Linked DNA regions of Caenorhabditis elegans. The protein of the gene in region 3 purifies or fractionates together with the protein of the main gene of each other region. This does not show direct contact. Each region holds a gene or a part of one and is shown on either strand. Other genes may lie near its edges.

The links.
Region 1: the proteins of C28H8.7 (region 3) and F47G3.3 fractionate together in Caenorhabditis elegans (co-fractionation; one large-scale study listed by BioGRID). This does not show direct contact.
Region 2: the proteins of C28H8.7 (region 3) and Y47G6A.18 fractionate together in Caenorhabditis elegans (co-fractionation; one large-scale study listed by BioGRID). This does not show direct contact.

What each region holds. Positions count from the first base shown.
Region 1 is NC_003284.9:2,373,283-2,378,423, forward strand, and holds the start of F47G3.3 (KIF-binding protein), read left to right. Parts: upstream 1-2,702; 5' UTR 2,703-2,714; coding exon 2,715-2,759; intron 2,760-2,807; coding exon 2,808-3,038; intron 3,039-3,428; coding exon 3,429-3,534; intron 3,535-3,582; coding exon 3,583-3,752; intron 3,753-3,796; coding exon 3,797-4,159; intron 4,160-4,517; coding exon 4,518-4,680; intron 4,681-4,729; coding exon 4,730-4,896; intron 4,897-5,141.
Region 2 is NC_003279.8:3,510,539-3,515,679, forward strand, and holds the start of Y47G6A.18 (Golgi phosphoprotein 3 homolog sauron), read right to left. Parts: upstream 2,196-5,141; 5' UTR 2,122-2,195; coding exon 2,077-2,121; intron 910-2,076; coding exon 649-909; intron 183-648; coding exon 1-182.
Region 3 is NC_003281.10:5,884,947-5,890,087, forward strand, and holds C28H8.7 (uncharacterized protein), read right to left. Parts: upstream 2,048-5,141; 5' UTR 2,011-2,047; coding exon 1,801-2,010; intron 1,670-1,800; coding exon 1,529-1,669; intron 1,477-1,528; coding exon 1,246-1,476; intron 1,171-1,245; coding exon 901-1,170; 3' UTR 830-900; downstream 1-829. Other genes in the region: C28H8.5 (ShKT domain-containing protein), read left to right, coding at 1-110, 323-456, 509-612, 707-829; C28H8.8 (uncharacterized protein), read right to left, coding at 2,158-2,522, 2,907-3,114, 3,164-3,286, 3,330-3,464, 3,767-3,829.

The DNA.
Region 1 (5,141 bases), on a different chromosome or scaffold from region 3:
TTTCAAAAGCAATGTGCTCCCCGCTTTTGGGCTATCAATAAAATACACGTAATCATTATTGTCAGACAAGTGTAAAAACTGACATGACAGAGAGCTTTTGATATTTAGAACAACGGGAATATAGAAGGGTGAACAATCTCCAATTGGGTACTTGGTTGGCGCTCACAACTTTAGATGCCAACAGACTCACCAAACCATACTTCATTGAAATTTCAAATTTGTTGAATCAAAAAATTTGTGAACAAAACTATTATTCCTGCATACGTTTTTATTTTTAAGCTGGAGAGTTACCAGTAAGAAAATTGTTGACAAAATCTTTTTATGTGCTGGTTAAATAACCAAATATGTCAAACTTTGAAAAATTCTTCGAACTGTGGAAAAAGAGACAATTACTCAGTTATTCGTAAACTTTGTAATTGAGCAAAAAACAAACAAGACTGGCAAACCGGACTGAATCGAACGTCCGGCGTCAAGTTTTGACAAAAATAATCATTCAACTTTTAAATAAAAATTGAGTATGTAGGTTTTTCACGTCGCCCGAAAACTGTGTTTATGAGAAAAAATGTCCGCAATTTTTTCTACTCGACTGATGTGTTCAAACTTCCAACGTTTCACGTTCACGTTTCATTATTTTTTTAAAACCTAATGTTTTGTCAAAAACTTTGTTGGAAATATTTTTACGGATGGCAGAATGTCCTGCATCAAAATTAATATTGTTTTTTTTTTGTCGTCTATCAGTACTGTTAGAAATTATGGAAGTTTAAGTTATCAATTATTAATTTTCATCTGTCCGTAGTTTCAAAATTTTTTAAATAAAAGTTCAATAAAAAGTGCGTCAAAGAATCTTTTTTAAACATTTTGTCGAAAAACTTCGACTTCTAATACAAAACTGATGCCCTCGCGTTTAAGCAATTTTTAACATACAAACCACTCAGATTGAAAATTCCACTTTCGAGAAACCCTGAAAAACTAAAAAAAAAAACGTGGCCCACGATAATATTTGTTCAATTACAATTGAGTCTAACGTATTGAATTTGAATAGTTTATGTCTTTGAAAAATAAGTTTAGACAATGCCCTTATTGTATTCTAGTATTGTATTTTAGACTTGAAAAATCCGCAAGTAAACAGACCAAAGCTTAAAATAAGTGAGATTGGGCAGGCGCCACAAAAAAGTGGTTCCAAGTTAGGGCACAACGGGTGGTTAAAAAATTTGAATTTAACGTCTCTCAAAAAAATTATGGATTTTAGCCAATTACTTGTCGCCACCATTTTCTTGATATTTATGAAAAATGAAAATTTTGAACAAATACGAATAATTGTCCTTTACTGATCTCCAATACGTCGTTCAACAGGATAATCATCCGATTTCATATAAATAAATTAATTATTTTCTTCTTCCGTCTCCCGTTTTGACCTCAACAAAATCGCTTAGAATAGAGATGCACTATCCCAAAATCAATAATGATCTACCTGCTCTCTTCGATTGAATACCATGTAAATAGCAGACATACATTTTAAAAAGGATTAAAGGACGATCCGTTCTTCAAGTGCTATGCACTGCGGATCTGGGATTCAGGTACACTGCCTGGTGGTGATCCCTCTGGGCTGTAATTTAAGCCACGTCCTAGCCGGGGACTGTGGCCGATAATCCAGTCGTGGATTGCTCCACTTCCCAATAGAGGCTGGGTGAACCTAGGGGGTGAGGCCGGACTCGTGACCTCCAGACTGCTAGCGGCCACCACTACCGACTGAGCTATCTGCCCCCGAATAATTTTATTCTTTGAAAAAAAATAGCAGACATACATTTTCCCTAATTCAACCCCTTGCCCTCTTGCCATTCTCCAAACGTGACGAGACCATCTGCCGCGCTGAGACACCGCAGTGTTCCTCGTCGCACGTTTGTCTCGTTTCTTAGACTCTCCACTCTCTTGCGTGTACTCTCGCACATTGTCTCCTTATCCGGTCAGTTTTTTGAATGGTTCGAAGAGCCTCAAATCATTCCTTTATCTCACGTATTTACATGTAGATTTTCTTTATTTTCTCACCGCATTTATTCATAATTTTCAATACTTCTCAGAGCATTCTCGGCGCAACAAATCATTCTTTTTGCTCAGTCCCAAATACCTTTTCTTTTCTTTTTATCTCCTTGTTGCTGCGTCTCCGTATCTCTAACAACATTTTCGATTTCCCTAGCAATGTCGTTACTTTCTCGTAATTTCTCACTTTTCTCGTAATTTCTCACTTTCTTTCTCGCCGGACAAAAAATGTATACGAGTTCTCGCCCTTATTTTGAAAAACATCTAATAGAGACATACGAGAGTGATGAGTATCAGCGATATGTTAAATGGCATAGTCTGTCGCGGACCAGAACAAGCAGAAGTAATGAAAATATCATTTAAATTTAGAGGCATAAAATTCTGAATATTTTTTTAAACAGATAAAAAAATTCTCCAATTTTCAGAAAAATCTACATTTTGATGTTCTTATGAAAGACGATGCAAATTATTATTCAAGCTAATTCCTTCAAATCGTCCGTAAAAACTTACTGATTTTACCATTAGTTACCAAATGCACTGGTTTTTTTAACTCCTCAATTGAGTTGCCAAAATTATGAGCGATAGATGTTACTTTTTTTTTAGCTACTTGCTCCGATTGTTTTTCCTCTTTCTGTATCCTTAAATATACTTTGAAATACTTACCTGTTTCAGTTACAATGACGGATATGGAAAGTCAATTCGAAATTATCCGAACCGAAATCGTAAGTTCATTTTTTGCTTTTTTTCTACAATTACAATCCTATTTTCAGACTCTCGGAAATCTCACGGGATCCCTGCACACATTGCACCAAAACGTGAAGCTACAGATCTTCAGTGACGATCTCTGTCAGGCTTTTGACTCGTTCCTGATTTTCTTCCACAGAAGCGTATCGAGTTATATGGACAAATTAAAGTCACAAACTAACGACGATGACGACGACGTTGCTGATAGACTTTCGGCAGCGGAAGCTCACGTTTCGCTTCATTTGGGCAGATTTGTGGTAGGTCGTTTCACTTTTTAGTTTGTAGAAACTAAATATGGTTCTAAAACTAATTTAAAACGGAGTTAGTTTAGCCACTTTGTCGAGTCGAATGACCAAATATCATAATTTAACAAAACAATTCTGAAAGGCCCAGTTTTGCCACTGTTTTGGAATCGGACAAATTAATATATTTTTCGAATTAAGTTTCAAATATTAATATTTAAAAATGTAAAGATTCCAACATGACTTCTCTATAGTTTTCTCAACAAGTGGTAAAATCTCAGTTATTGCCAGTTTTTAAATCGAAACGCAAATTTTCAAACAATTTTCGGAAATTTTTACTATGATATTTGGCTTATGTTATCATAACTCCTCTGTTAAGAAGAACGAAAGAAATATATTTTGCAGGCCGAGATTCCAACATTCGCCGACGGATGCGATGTGTCTGGATTTTGGCACAGTCTACTGGTCAAATTGATTAATGAGATGTTTGGATTCTCTCACAAGACTTTTGGTATTTTAGAAAACCATTTTGCACAGCTATATCACAGTTTTTTTGCAGATCCAGCAGCAAAAGTCAAAAACAAGAATGCAATCAGTGCACTGTTTGAGGAATTTTTGGCAGCTGAAAAACCAGATAGATCCACTGCGTACGAATATATCTGCGTTATGTACATCAAATACCTTCAACAAATGAATCTGCATGCGGAGTTGGAGTTGTTCGCAGCAGAGGTTTGGAAGAGTTATATGGATGTACCAATATATAAAGTTTTCAGAAAATTGCTCACCCCCACGAGTACCAACAAGAAGGCAGTTCTTATTGGAAAGAAGAATGTCTTGCACTTCTGAAGGCTGCGGATAAGTGCACAAATAACCGTCTGAGAAACAACTTGCTCACAATCGGAAAACGTCTCTTCAACAACACTACTGCCAACATCTCCAAGCAAACTGAGGCGTTCTTTGCTATCCTCACTTACATCGATCTCTGTGACAATCCAGTCACCGCGGAAGTCTGGACCGGTTTGAGAAAAATTTGCAAAAGAGTCATTGAGCATGGAAATGAGGTGTTGTTCTTTGCAAACAACGAGAACTTTGACGAGAACTTGAAGAGTGCTCTGAAAGTTTTTGGTGAGGTTGAGGTAAGATTTTCATATTATGAAAGTTTTGTCTAAATACATTCATCATGATACAAAACGACCACAAAATTTTAGACTTTCTCAAATTTTCTATCAAAGCTTTTAAGGAAATCCAGAGCAAGGTCGCATTTTCCGACCTCTAGAATATTTTGACACTAAAGTGTGAAAATGGTAGAAAAACAGTTGTTTGGGTCGATAAATTTTCAAAATGTTTTACTATAATATCTGATCCTTTTGGCACCGTGGCACAGCTCAACCTTTGAATAAGTTTGGGGGCTCTGAAATATGTCAAAAAATGTACTGGAAAAATTCATATTGATTTTACAGAATCCTATTCGGCAAACAATTTCAATAATTTCAGTTGACACTCAATAGACGAATTGGAATGATCCAAAAATTGGAGAGAAGCGATCCACAAGATGGACATCAAATGGACTCTGCATTTTTCATTGATTATGGATATTATTATGTGATGAGAGCCTCCATTTTCCAGAGCGCTAAATTCATTGTTGGTGAGCAAGAAGGTAAGTCGAAATCAGGCGCTTGTGCACCGTACATCGTATTCAATTTCAGCCAAAGAGCAAACAGCGTTGGACATCAAGCAGGCGTCGGACTATTCTTATCACTATACAAATGTTCAAATCGCTATCAATGACGTTCTTGAATTGATTACTTCAAATTTTGAAAATTTGAGTGAAACAAGCTTGGTTGAAATGGGAATCTATCAGTATCTGGAGTCGGTAAGGAATACTTTAGGGCGGCGATAAGTCCTAAGCCAAAATTCATAAATTTTTCTTGTGTCGGTATTTTCTAAAAGTTTTGACCATCACTAGTATCCTAGCTCGCCATTTTTTGGAGGCTTCTATTTGATCTTGCTTGCTAACAAGTTTTTTCCTAAATTCTTTATTGACAGAAGCTTTTAATTCGGGGCGCTGAAAAGTTGTTAAAATTACCGTAAAATGGAATATGTACGAACTCAACTTTG
Region 2 (5,141 bases), on a different chromosome or scaffold from region 3:
TTCTTGGCGAGTCGTTCACGAACATTTCTCAGTTGGTAGCGAAGTTTCAGCGGATTCCACGTTTCTCCAGACAAATATTCAATCCAGCTGGTCACTGTCTCCGGCGGGTTTGTCTCCTTCATATGGCGAAGTGCCTCGTCGAGAATGACGTCACCAGTTGGCTCGCTGCTTTTCACAGTCACCTGTAATATTGTTTGTTTGTGCGATGCACGGGACGAAATATAATACTATAAAACTTTCTTTTTCAATTGAATTCGAAAAATTTCTTTTCGGCGGATAAGATGGTTCTTATTGATATTACGCGACCACAAAATTCTGAGAATGCGTATTGCACAACATATTTGACGCGCAAAATATCTCGTAGCGAAAACTACAGTAATTCTTTAAATGACTACTGTAGCTCTTGTGTCGATTTACGGGCTCGACTTTAAAATAAAAAGGAAAATAGAATATTGTTGTCAATATTCGAAAAAAGCTATAACAAATTTCGAAAATCGAGATCCCGTAAATCGACACAAGCGCTACAGTAACAGAATTAAAGAATTACTGTAGTTTTCGCTACGAGATATTTTGCGCGTCAAATATGTTGCACAATACGCATTCTCAGAAGCCTGTGCTCCCGTAATCAATATTTATATCTGAAACTACCTTTCTATTAAGCAAATTCTTGCGTCTCATTCCGCCTCCCTCGAGTTGAATTCGTCCACGGAGCACAAGCTCGATGAGCACACATCCTCGGAGCCCCGACGAAATGCAATCATTCCAAAACGATGTGTAACCTTCACGGTCTTTAAGGCCGAGCAACAGGATTTGCTCCATCAAAGTCAATCGGGTTCCCTTGTCATTGTCTTCTTGATCCGAAGATTGTGCTGAATCGCCGCTCGCTTCGTCGACTTTTTCGGTGACTGGCTGAAAATTGGATTGATTTTGAATTAGTTAACTGAAATATCATTCTGTGAATTTTGCAGAAAAAAACATCGCCGCACAGAATAAGAGGCGGGGCGTAATTTAGCAACACTGCGGAACAGGGGTGTGCGGCAAATTTGCCGAATTTGCCGAGCACGGCAAATTTCAAAAAAGTAGATTTGCCGAATTTGCCGAGCTCGGCAAATTTCGAAATTTGCCGCACACGTCAAAAATTTGACAGTACAATTTTGACTAAAACTGTTGATTTTTTCGCCAAAAATTTAGTAAAATGATAACAAATTGAGTTATTTTGATGTTTAAGCAGACACACTACACCTAACTTGTTCAGAAACCAGAGGTGTGTTAAGAATTCAGTAGTTTTGGTGCTCCAAAAAATATCAAAAAATATATAATTTTTCCGAGTTTGTTAAGCACGGCAAATTTGCCGAATTTGCCGAGCTCGGCAAATTTTGAGATTTGCCGCACACCCCTGCTGCGGAACGGTTTTTTTCGATTTTGCTTATTCTATTTATTCGGAAAAAATTCTATAATATTTTCATTCGAATTTATTTGTTTGAAAAAATTGAAAAAAAAAGCGTGAAAAATATACGAAAACAGGAAAACCGCGCCGCAGGGTTGCGAAATTAAGCTCCACCTCTTTTTCCGATTAATCGTTTAATTTTAACAGTACACAGAGGAAATTTGAGTTGAAAATTTCAACTTTTCAGTGACTGGCTGGAAATTTTATTGATTTTTAATTAGTTTTTTCTTGAAAACTCTTTTTTGCAAAAACATCGTCGCACAGAAAAAGAGGCGGAGCGTAATTTCGCAACACTGCGGCACGGTTTTTTTTTTAATTTTGTTCGTTTTATCTTACTTTTCCTGAAGAAAAATGTTTTTACAACCAAAAATATCCTCATAGTCTTATGAGAACTAAATTCGATAATATTTTCAATCGAATTTTTTTGTTTGAAAAATTGAAAAAACCGCGCCGCAGGGTTGCGAAATTAAGCTCCGCTTATTTTTCCGTGCGACGCTGTTTCTGCAAAATTCACGGATTAATCGTTTAATTTAAACATTACACAGAGGTAATTTAAGTTGAAAATTTCATCTTTTTCAGTTTTTTTTATCTCTCGTGTTTTTCCATTGAACTCTGTAAAATCATCCTACCTCTTCAGCCTTTCTGCGTCTCTGGACCAGCTGACCGTCCGACATATCCGATTATTACAGTATTAAATTCTATCCAAAAAACACGTCGGCAACTAACTGGGCGAGTCGTTCCTCAACTTCTGAAATGGCAATAATTTCTTCAATTTGACAAAAATTTCGCTCAAAAAATTCGGTTTCACGTTAAAAAGTTGCAAATTTCGGGTAAATTAAATGTTGAATTTCAAAATTCGTTTCCAAATCAAGATTCCATGCATTTTGCTTCTCCCTATTAGCAATTGCCAAAAACATTCAAAATCGGCTAGTGAGAGAAGCATAAGCTGTGTTGTAGATTAAATCTAGAAGAACCAGTCTGAAAGTGGAGCCTCCAGCAGATGAAAAGATCGTTGGCAGTGATAAACTTTTGAGACAAATGAAGATGATGCGCAAAACCGGATGGAGTGGAAGAGGAAGAGGTGTAAATGGGTGTTTTTTGGGAATAAATTATGAGTATCTAGCTTGATATTCGATTTTTAGAAGTTTAAACTGGATTTAATCGAAATTCAATTTTTTTAGTCTCCGGAAAGGCAGCCGCGAAGAGCTTTAATCGTTATTTAAATAAAAATTTCAGTGTTTCAGAAATATTTTTTAACCGATTTATTGCCGATTTAGTAAATTTTCAGCACTAATATTCAAAATTATGGAGGTTTTACAGAAAATAAATTTTTTTTTTAATTGTATGAGTCTAATATCGAAATATAAAAATTTGCTTCATCTGGAAATAGTTTTCATATCAGTTGGAACAATTGAAAAAAAGCTCAAAAATTGCATGAACGTTGAAAAATGCCGGAAAAATAGGCAATTTTCAACTTTCAGAAAGTTTTTCCAAAGGTTTCAAGTAAAATGAACGCATTTTATCGGATATTTCCCTTTAAATTTAGTGATAAAATGTAGAAAAACATTTTATTTGTCTGGAAATAGCCTTTTATTTTGCTCGAAACATTTGGAAAATTTGGAAAATTTTTTGGGAAATTGTGAAATTTTTTTATGAAAGGCTATTTCCAGATAAATAAAATGTTTTTCTACATTGTATCACAAAACTTAAAGGAAAATATCCGATGAAATGCGTTCATTTTACGCGAAAAATTTGGAAAAACTTTCAAAAATTGTCTGAAAGTTGAAAATTGCCGAAATTTGTTTCTAGCAGTCTCCAACTTTCAGGCATTTTTCGAACGTTTTTCCTAATGTTTCAAGCCAAATAAAAACAATTTTCAGACAATAAATTTTAAGAAAAAATCTAAGGAAAGGTGTATTTTACAGAATTACTGGTCGGCAAACTCCAACTAATACAACAATTTCGGAAGGGAAATTATAAAACAGTTGTTATCGCCTAAAAACGAAATATTACATCACAAGCGAGCAAGCTTTTCCATGTGAGCAGGGAAAGAGCCATTGTTTGGTCAGCTTTTTTCTGGGGCTGCTCTCCAAAGCTTTAACTGCCACCAACATTTCCACAAAAAAAAACAGCCAAAATTATATTAATACTGGAGAACTGGGTACTTAAAAAAAGGTTTGTACAGTTTATAGATGCTTATCAGAGGGCGTTGCTGTGAAGCTTTATCATGGAAAATGGAAGAAGGAAGAGCAGGGGTGATAATTGATTGGAACTCGAGAGATTACTCGGAAAAGCTCGAAAATTTAATTTCTTGTAGATTCAAAAAACATCAAATCATTGGAATAAATGTAATGAATCGACAGCGACGCACGGGCGAAAGCTAGTATCGGGAGAAGAGCGTTTCGATTGAAAATACCAGGAGAGGCGAGAAGTGTGGAGAGACGCGAGAGAAGAAACGTGGCGTTGGGGACAGAGAGAGTGAAGAGACCACAGAGACACAGAAGGGACGAGCCGGATGATGGAGACCGCCGGAGGAGAGAGAAGGATGGTGACGAAGCGGACGGACGGACGACGGCGACATACTTTGCCGTGAATTTTCTGTGCGCATAAAGAAGTGAACGTTCTGAGTGAAATAATAGAATAATGTGATTTTGGCTTCTAGTTATCTCGTTATTCAAAGGTGAAGTAGCCGGAATATTTTTAAAAAGATTCAAAAAATCTGAAATAGTCTCAAATTTAGCAAAACTTTAAAAGAAAAACGAAAAGAATGAAAAATCCAACTTCTAAAGGGGGAGTAGAGTTTGTGAGTATTTTGTTTAAATAGACTAAAACTGGTCTAAAATTACCGAATTTCATAATGAGACTTCACAAAAAATTTTCAAACAACTTTTATGGCGGGTCAAAATTTCGAAAAAAAAAAGAGTCAAATTTTGCTAAAATCTGAAATTTCGCTGGCTTTTCTTTGTCACAGCCGCTGGACTTTAGTTTTTTCTGAAATTATCATCCTTTAATCCTTATTTTGGTAGATTATCTCGCGGAAATTGGTTGATTGAGACAATTTTTAGACCTATAGGCATCCAAAAATGATAAAAATTGGATGCCTATCGGCCTAAAAGTTGTCTCAATCAACGAATTTCCGCGAGATAAATTACCAAAAGAAGGATTAAAGGATGATAATTTCAGAAAAACTAAAATCCAGCGGCTGTGACAAAGAAAAATGTGCGAAATTTCAGATTTTAGCAAAATTTGGCTCTTTTTTTTCGAAATTTTGACCGGCCATAAAAAATTTTTGGAAATTTTTTGTGAAGTCTCATTAAGGATTTCGGTGGTTTTGGACCAGTTTTAGTCTATTTAACCAAAATACCCACAAACTCTAAGTTATTTTACAATTCGCCCACTTTTGGACCAATCAGAGCAGCTCGAAGGCGCTGATTGTTCAGGGCGTTCTCATTTTGGAGGCTTTTTTTTGGACTTTTCACTTTTTTTGCAATTTTTTCTGTGGATTCCGGCTTACTATATATATTTTTTTCATAAAATCCATAAAGTTATTGTGTTGCGAGTCACAATATTAAATGTATGACGTTTCGTTATTCTTATCTAAAAAGGCAAACATCTCGGTCTCACAGTACTTATATTTGAAAATTTTGATTTTTAGGCTTTTTTCTTTGATAGGAAAGAAAAAGGGGGACTTGTT
Region 3 (5,141 bases):
GGAGGAAAAGCATTTTTCCCAACTATTCCAAAGTTTACGTATGGAGAACAAGTGGATATCACCATTGCCGATAATTCACAAGATACACATACGCCATTACTGAATTATACGTGAGTATTTTATGACATTTTTAAATCGATTAAAATTGTGCGTAAAATATAATGAATTTGATTAGAACGGAATGCATCTCAATTGACGCGCAAAATGAGTTTCACAGACTGCAAAGTCCAGTATAAGACTACTTTTATTCCTATAACTCAATCCTGCCAGAAAATGCTTAGAATTCATGAGCTCTCGCGGAAAACAAGGTATCAAATTTCAGCGCGTTCGCCTGGGATATCAATATGCCAGACGGTGATCCAACTGAAATTCATTCTGAGAACGGATATATTGCTGTTGAATATGATAAAGAGCAAGAGAAGGAATATGTCTCACTGAATACTGCAATGAGTAATGGTAGGAAGTGTGATATAATCTTGAAACAATGCCACGTTGTATTAAATTACAGGATTCATGACAATCGAGGAAGGAGAATCTGGACCGAATCAAGTGAAGTTTAGGCTGCAAAGAATTGGGAGAATCAGTTTTTCGCACGACTCTGCTGTTCGAATTGTGAGTCGAGAAAAAAAAGAAGAAAAAGAGAAAACTCGGTCACGTGTCCAAAATCAAACGATGTTGTAGATCAGTAATTTTAATATATTTTCAGATGTTCCGTGAATGGACTCTTCTCGATGAAAATCGTTTAGAAGCCCGTCTTCTAATGACCACAACAATTACAAGACGACTCATGGAGCACACGGCAGTTATTTATAAAAAGATTTATCCGTGAAAATAACGTGTGTATTATTGTTCTAAATTGAAAACATTTCCGGGTTGAAATAAAAAATATATAAAAAGTACTTAAATATACGGTGCCAAATATTTTCCCCTACACTCCTGATGTTCATAATTGACCAGAAAGAGTTCAAGATTATGAAATGAAAGAAGTACATATCGAGAATCATTAAAAATTAGTGAAAGTCCTGCCATGAGATGCTTAATTGTTTGAGAAGTTGGTGGAGCAAGGCGAATTTCAATTTGACATACAATTTGCCCGTTTTCATCCAATTTGCCCATTCTCGAGATTTCATGGAATATTTTATAATTGTTTACTTCTTCTTTAATTGAGATCTGAAAATTATAGTTTAAAATGAGTGGAAGACAGGCATGAAGATGTATCCGTTCACAGTTTTTTACAGTACTTACCAAATCGATAACCTTATGATTCACTTGAGTTTTGAGATACGTTGAAAAGTGTCCAATACCCGCCGACTCGGATTGATTCAAGTAGTTTGCCAAGGAACCATAATCCCAATAAATATTTGATGAGTTCAGGTGGGTCCCGTAGGTTTTTAAGTCCGTTGGAAGTTCATCTGTCATATTTTTCCGAGTTCTAGAATCCGTATAATTTCCAATTGTGACGAATACAAACGGCTCCTTAACTCAGATATATTATCCTTTTTTTTCTTTTCGAAAACTAAATTCTGACCTTCTTAGTGGCAATGAACATATCATAACTTCGGATACCAGTTTGATATTCCACATTTGTCTCTAATTTCATAATTGGCACATTCAAAAATATTGATGCATTTTTACATCTCTCTGTTGCAAATCTCACATAGTACCAACTCTGGAAAAATAATTTTATTTGAAAAATTGGGTCGGGCATTGTTTTCGTTATTCATTATTAAGTTTGAAATAAAACCCCAATGACGTTTCCCTACTTTTGAACTTCTATGTCTCATAAATTATTAAATTTACCTCTCGATCAACATACAAATCTTTTTCCATACACTTAACCCATTTGTCAACTTCAGTTTGAAATTTACTCTTTGTCGAATCGCCTCCACGTGGATGTTCTAGGTACCGGTCAAAATATTGTTGTTCAAACCGTTTTTGACGTGCTATATAAACTAGCAGTAGAAGAATAAGAGCAAACAGTAGTTTTATATTACGAGGATGTGGGCTCATGGAGAATTTTATATTTATTTTACAAAAAACAGAGATAGTGGTGTTTTCTATTGTGATCAGTATTGACAAGAGTCTGATTTGAATATAAATGGGAAAAGGATGATGTGGAAAAAATCAAAAAGAAAATTGGAAAAAAAATGAAATAAACTATTCAAAAAACCTAGAAAAATACTTATCAACACAAAATGGATGTTCCATATTAATCACATAAAATCGATGATGTACTGTAGCATAAGCAACCATAAATGCATATCTCCCATCTTCAATGATCGTATTCATTATGCTTAAAAATTTTGCTTTCCGTTCATCGTCAGCTTGATGAACCTCTGTGTTCATTTGACACACTACTATCCCATTTTGATCGAATTCTGCTCCGCGAGCCATCATCGGAAGGATATCGTATTCGGGTCCCTCATTGTCCATCAAAAATTGATCTATCGTGGATTCCTTTACGAATTTTTTGAAGAAAGTGATGATGTCAATGTGGGGCATCACTTGATTTATATATTTCCCTGAGATTCAATCACTAATTTTTTTTTGTAAAAATTTTTTACAAAAAAAATTAGTAGCTTTGGTCAATATTTAGTCAGCTTTCATAGTGGTAGAAAAAATGATTCTTCGAACATGTCACATGTGCTCGAAATATGTTGCATTTGGTGGGCAAACCTACATGCCTGCTTATCGTCTATGGTTCATATTTCTCAGTGAGCTTACCTTCAAAGTGAGAAAAAACAAATAGTCAAGGTCTGATTATATTTTAATTGGTAGAAATATATTGATAAAAAATCCATTTCACCTTTGAGTCAAGTCCTGAACCTGCCCAAAATTTACATTTAAAACGTGAGCCTCTAGAAACATTAGGCTGCTGAATCTATAAATATTTGAAGAAAACTAACGGTTCTTAAGCACCAACGCTGTCGAGACATCAGTTTCTTTTCCCACAGCAAATGGGAAATACGACCCAACAGGTTCGTAAAGTTCTCCGTTTCCAGTGTATATTGGATCGGCGGCATAGAATCGGGAATTCGTCGGAAGTGTTTCCTTGAGTGTTGTTTCTGCTTTCACATCCAAACCAATGCCAAGAGTTACTACTACACTTGGTTCCTGGCAAATTTTGAATTAAATTGGTTTTTTTGTGGTGGAATTGAGAAACCTGAGATGGACTGTACACATGATATTTCATCTCATCTTTGTTCTTTACACCAGTCAATTCGATTTTCGAAAATGCAGTTTCATTTCTACATTGATTAATCACACGTTTCACCCAGTACCACATCTGAAATTATGACGTCATATCAGGATCATCGTTCAATTTAAACCTCTTTTGGATCGGTTCTGCTCCTTTTCAGTTTCTCCTGAAAGCACTGTTTCCATTCGTCGGCTGCTTCCAAGAAGCGCCTGTTTTTGGTGATTGGAAGCGAAGTTTCACGACTATATGAACTCAATTGGTGTACCTGAACATCAGTTTGTAAAGATTCAATGGTAGGAAGAACAAATTTTGAGTAGCTACTAACCACAGATGTATTTACCGTACCCCACCCTAGTGCCAAATAACACTTTTGCAACATGGCCGTGAAAACAAAAAATTTGGTAGCTTCGGCAAATATAAAAACTACATGACTTTTGCATCCGGAAAATTAAAGGAAGCTCTTTTTGATAAAATTTCAAGGAAGTTTCAAAAAGATCACTGGTACAAACTAAAAACTTGTCGTTGCCTGGGGTGTTTTTCTCAAATGAAAAAATATCCAAAACTCACTTTATAATCTGGATAGAACAACATGAAAAGAACAGTGAAGCACAAAAATAGGATTATGAACATTTTGAAGTTGTGCATCCACCGTGAAGCCATATAGGACGGTTCTGAACAAATTTTCGTAGAATATAAAAAGCGTGTCTAAAAACCGTTTTTATGACTTTCTGGTACATTTCGGAAATATAAAACTGTTCTCCGAACTTATGCAAGTGTTTCGAATATTAGTACGGTTAAAGTTTCACCAGTAGTTGCATTTCCCTTTGATGACCAAAAAGAAGCAAAAACTCTAAAATCCTTGACTACTCTTGCCTACTTGTTTAAATTTTAAATGAGAAATCCGAACAATGAGAGTATAGGTAAATTATTATTTTAATATAAAATTTATAAAAATAGTTTTTCATAATTTAATAGCTAAACAATTACAAATGCGCAATTAAGAGAGTTTTTTGAAGTTTTGTGGACCACCCCACCACTGCTCAGTCTTCAGAAATAGGAAATAACTTACCATTTGTAATAACTCGAATCATAATTCTTGTCGTTTGAAAGCTTCCAAGTTAAAAAGATTTATTCCTCGAATGACTAGACTTTTTAACTACACTTGCCTTTTTGTGTCCTTTCGAATTAATTCCAACATCAATCTGTACAAACATTTCAGTTTTTCAGCATCCTGCAAACACAAGTGCCTCCCCCGTTTTTGTAAATCTTTTGATCTAATTTTTAGTTAGTTTAATTACGGTACAAAGTTCGCCGATTTAGAATTGATGTTACCGTTAGCCGTCCCACGCTTCAAACAAATATAATTTGTACAATTTTTTGGACAGTGACTATTTTAGTTTTTTTTTTTTTCAATTTTCAAATTTGCAAAATGCATGTTTCAATTTGACTTTTGAAAATATTTAAAATTAAAAAGGTCTACCTCTATTTCACTAAAAAAAACTTCACAAAAATCGTCTACAAAATAATCAAAATCATTTGTCACCTGAAACATTTTATAAAAAGTAAAATCCAATTAAAAAAATCGCACTTTATTTAAAAATTTAAAAAGTATTAGCAGGTAGTTAGATATCAAAACAAAATTGAGACAGGGAAAAATATATCAATAAGCATTTTCCTCTTCAAAATAAGTGACATCCATTGGGCATTGTTGTGCGAAGTGAGTGTTGCCCTGTATTGAATGAAATTGAGCATTTTTTAAGATAAAGGAGGGTGGGTGGGGGGACCGATAAAATGCAATTAAAAGTTGAGAAAAAAAGTGACTGGGGGAAAAGTTTGATATGGCGGTGGGGAGGAAATTTTGATTTTGAAATGCGTAGAAATTTTAATAAAAATTTTGGTTTTTTTTTGAAAATTGATTTACTTTTTTTTTTCATATTTTATA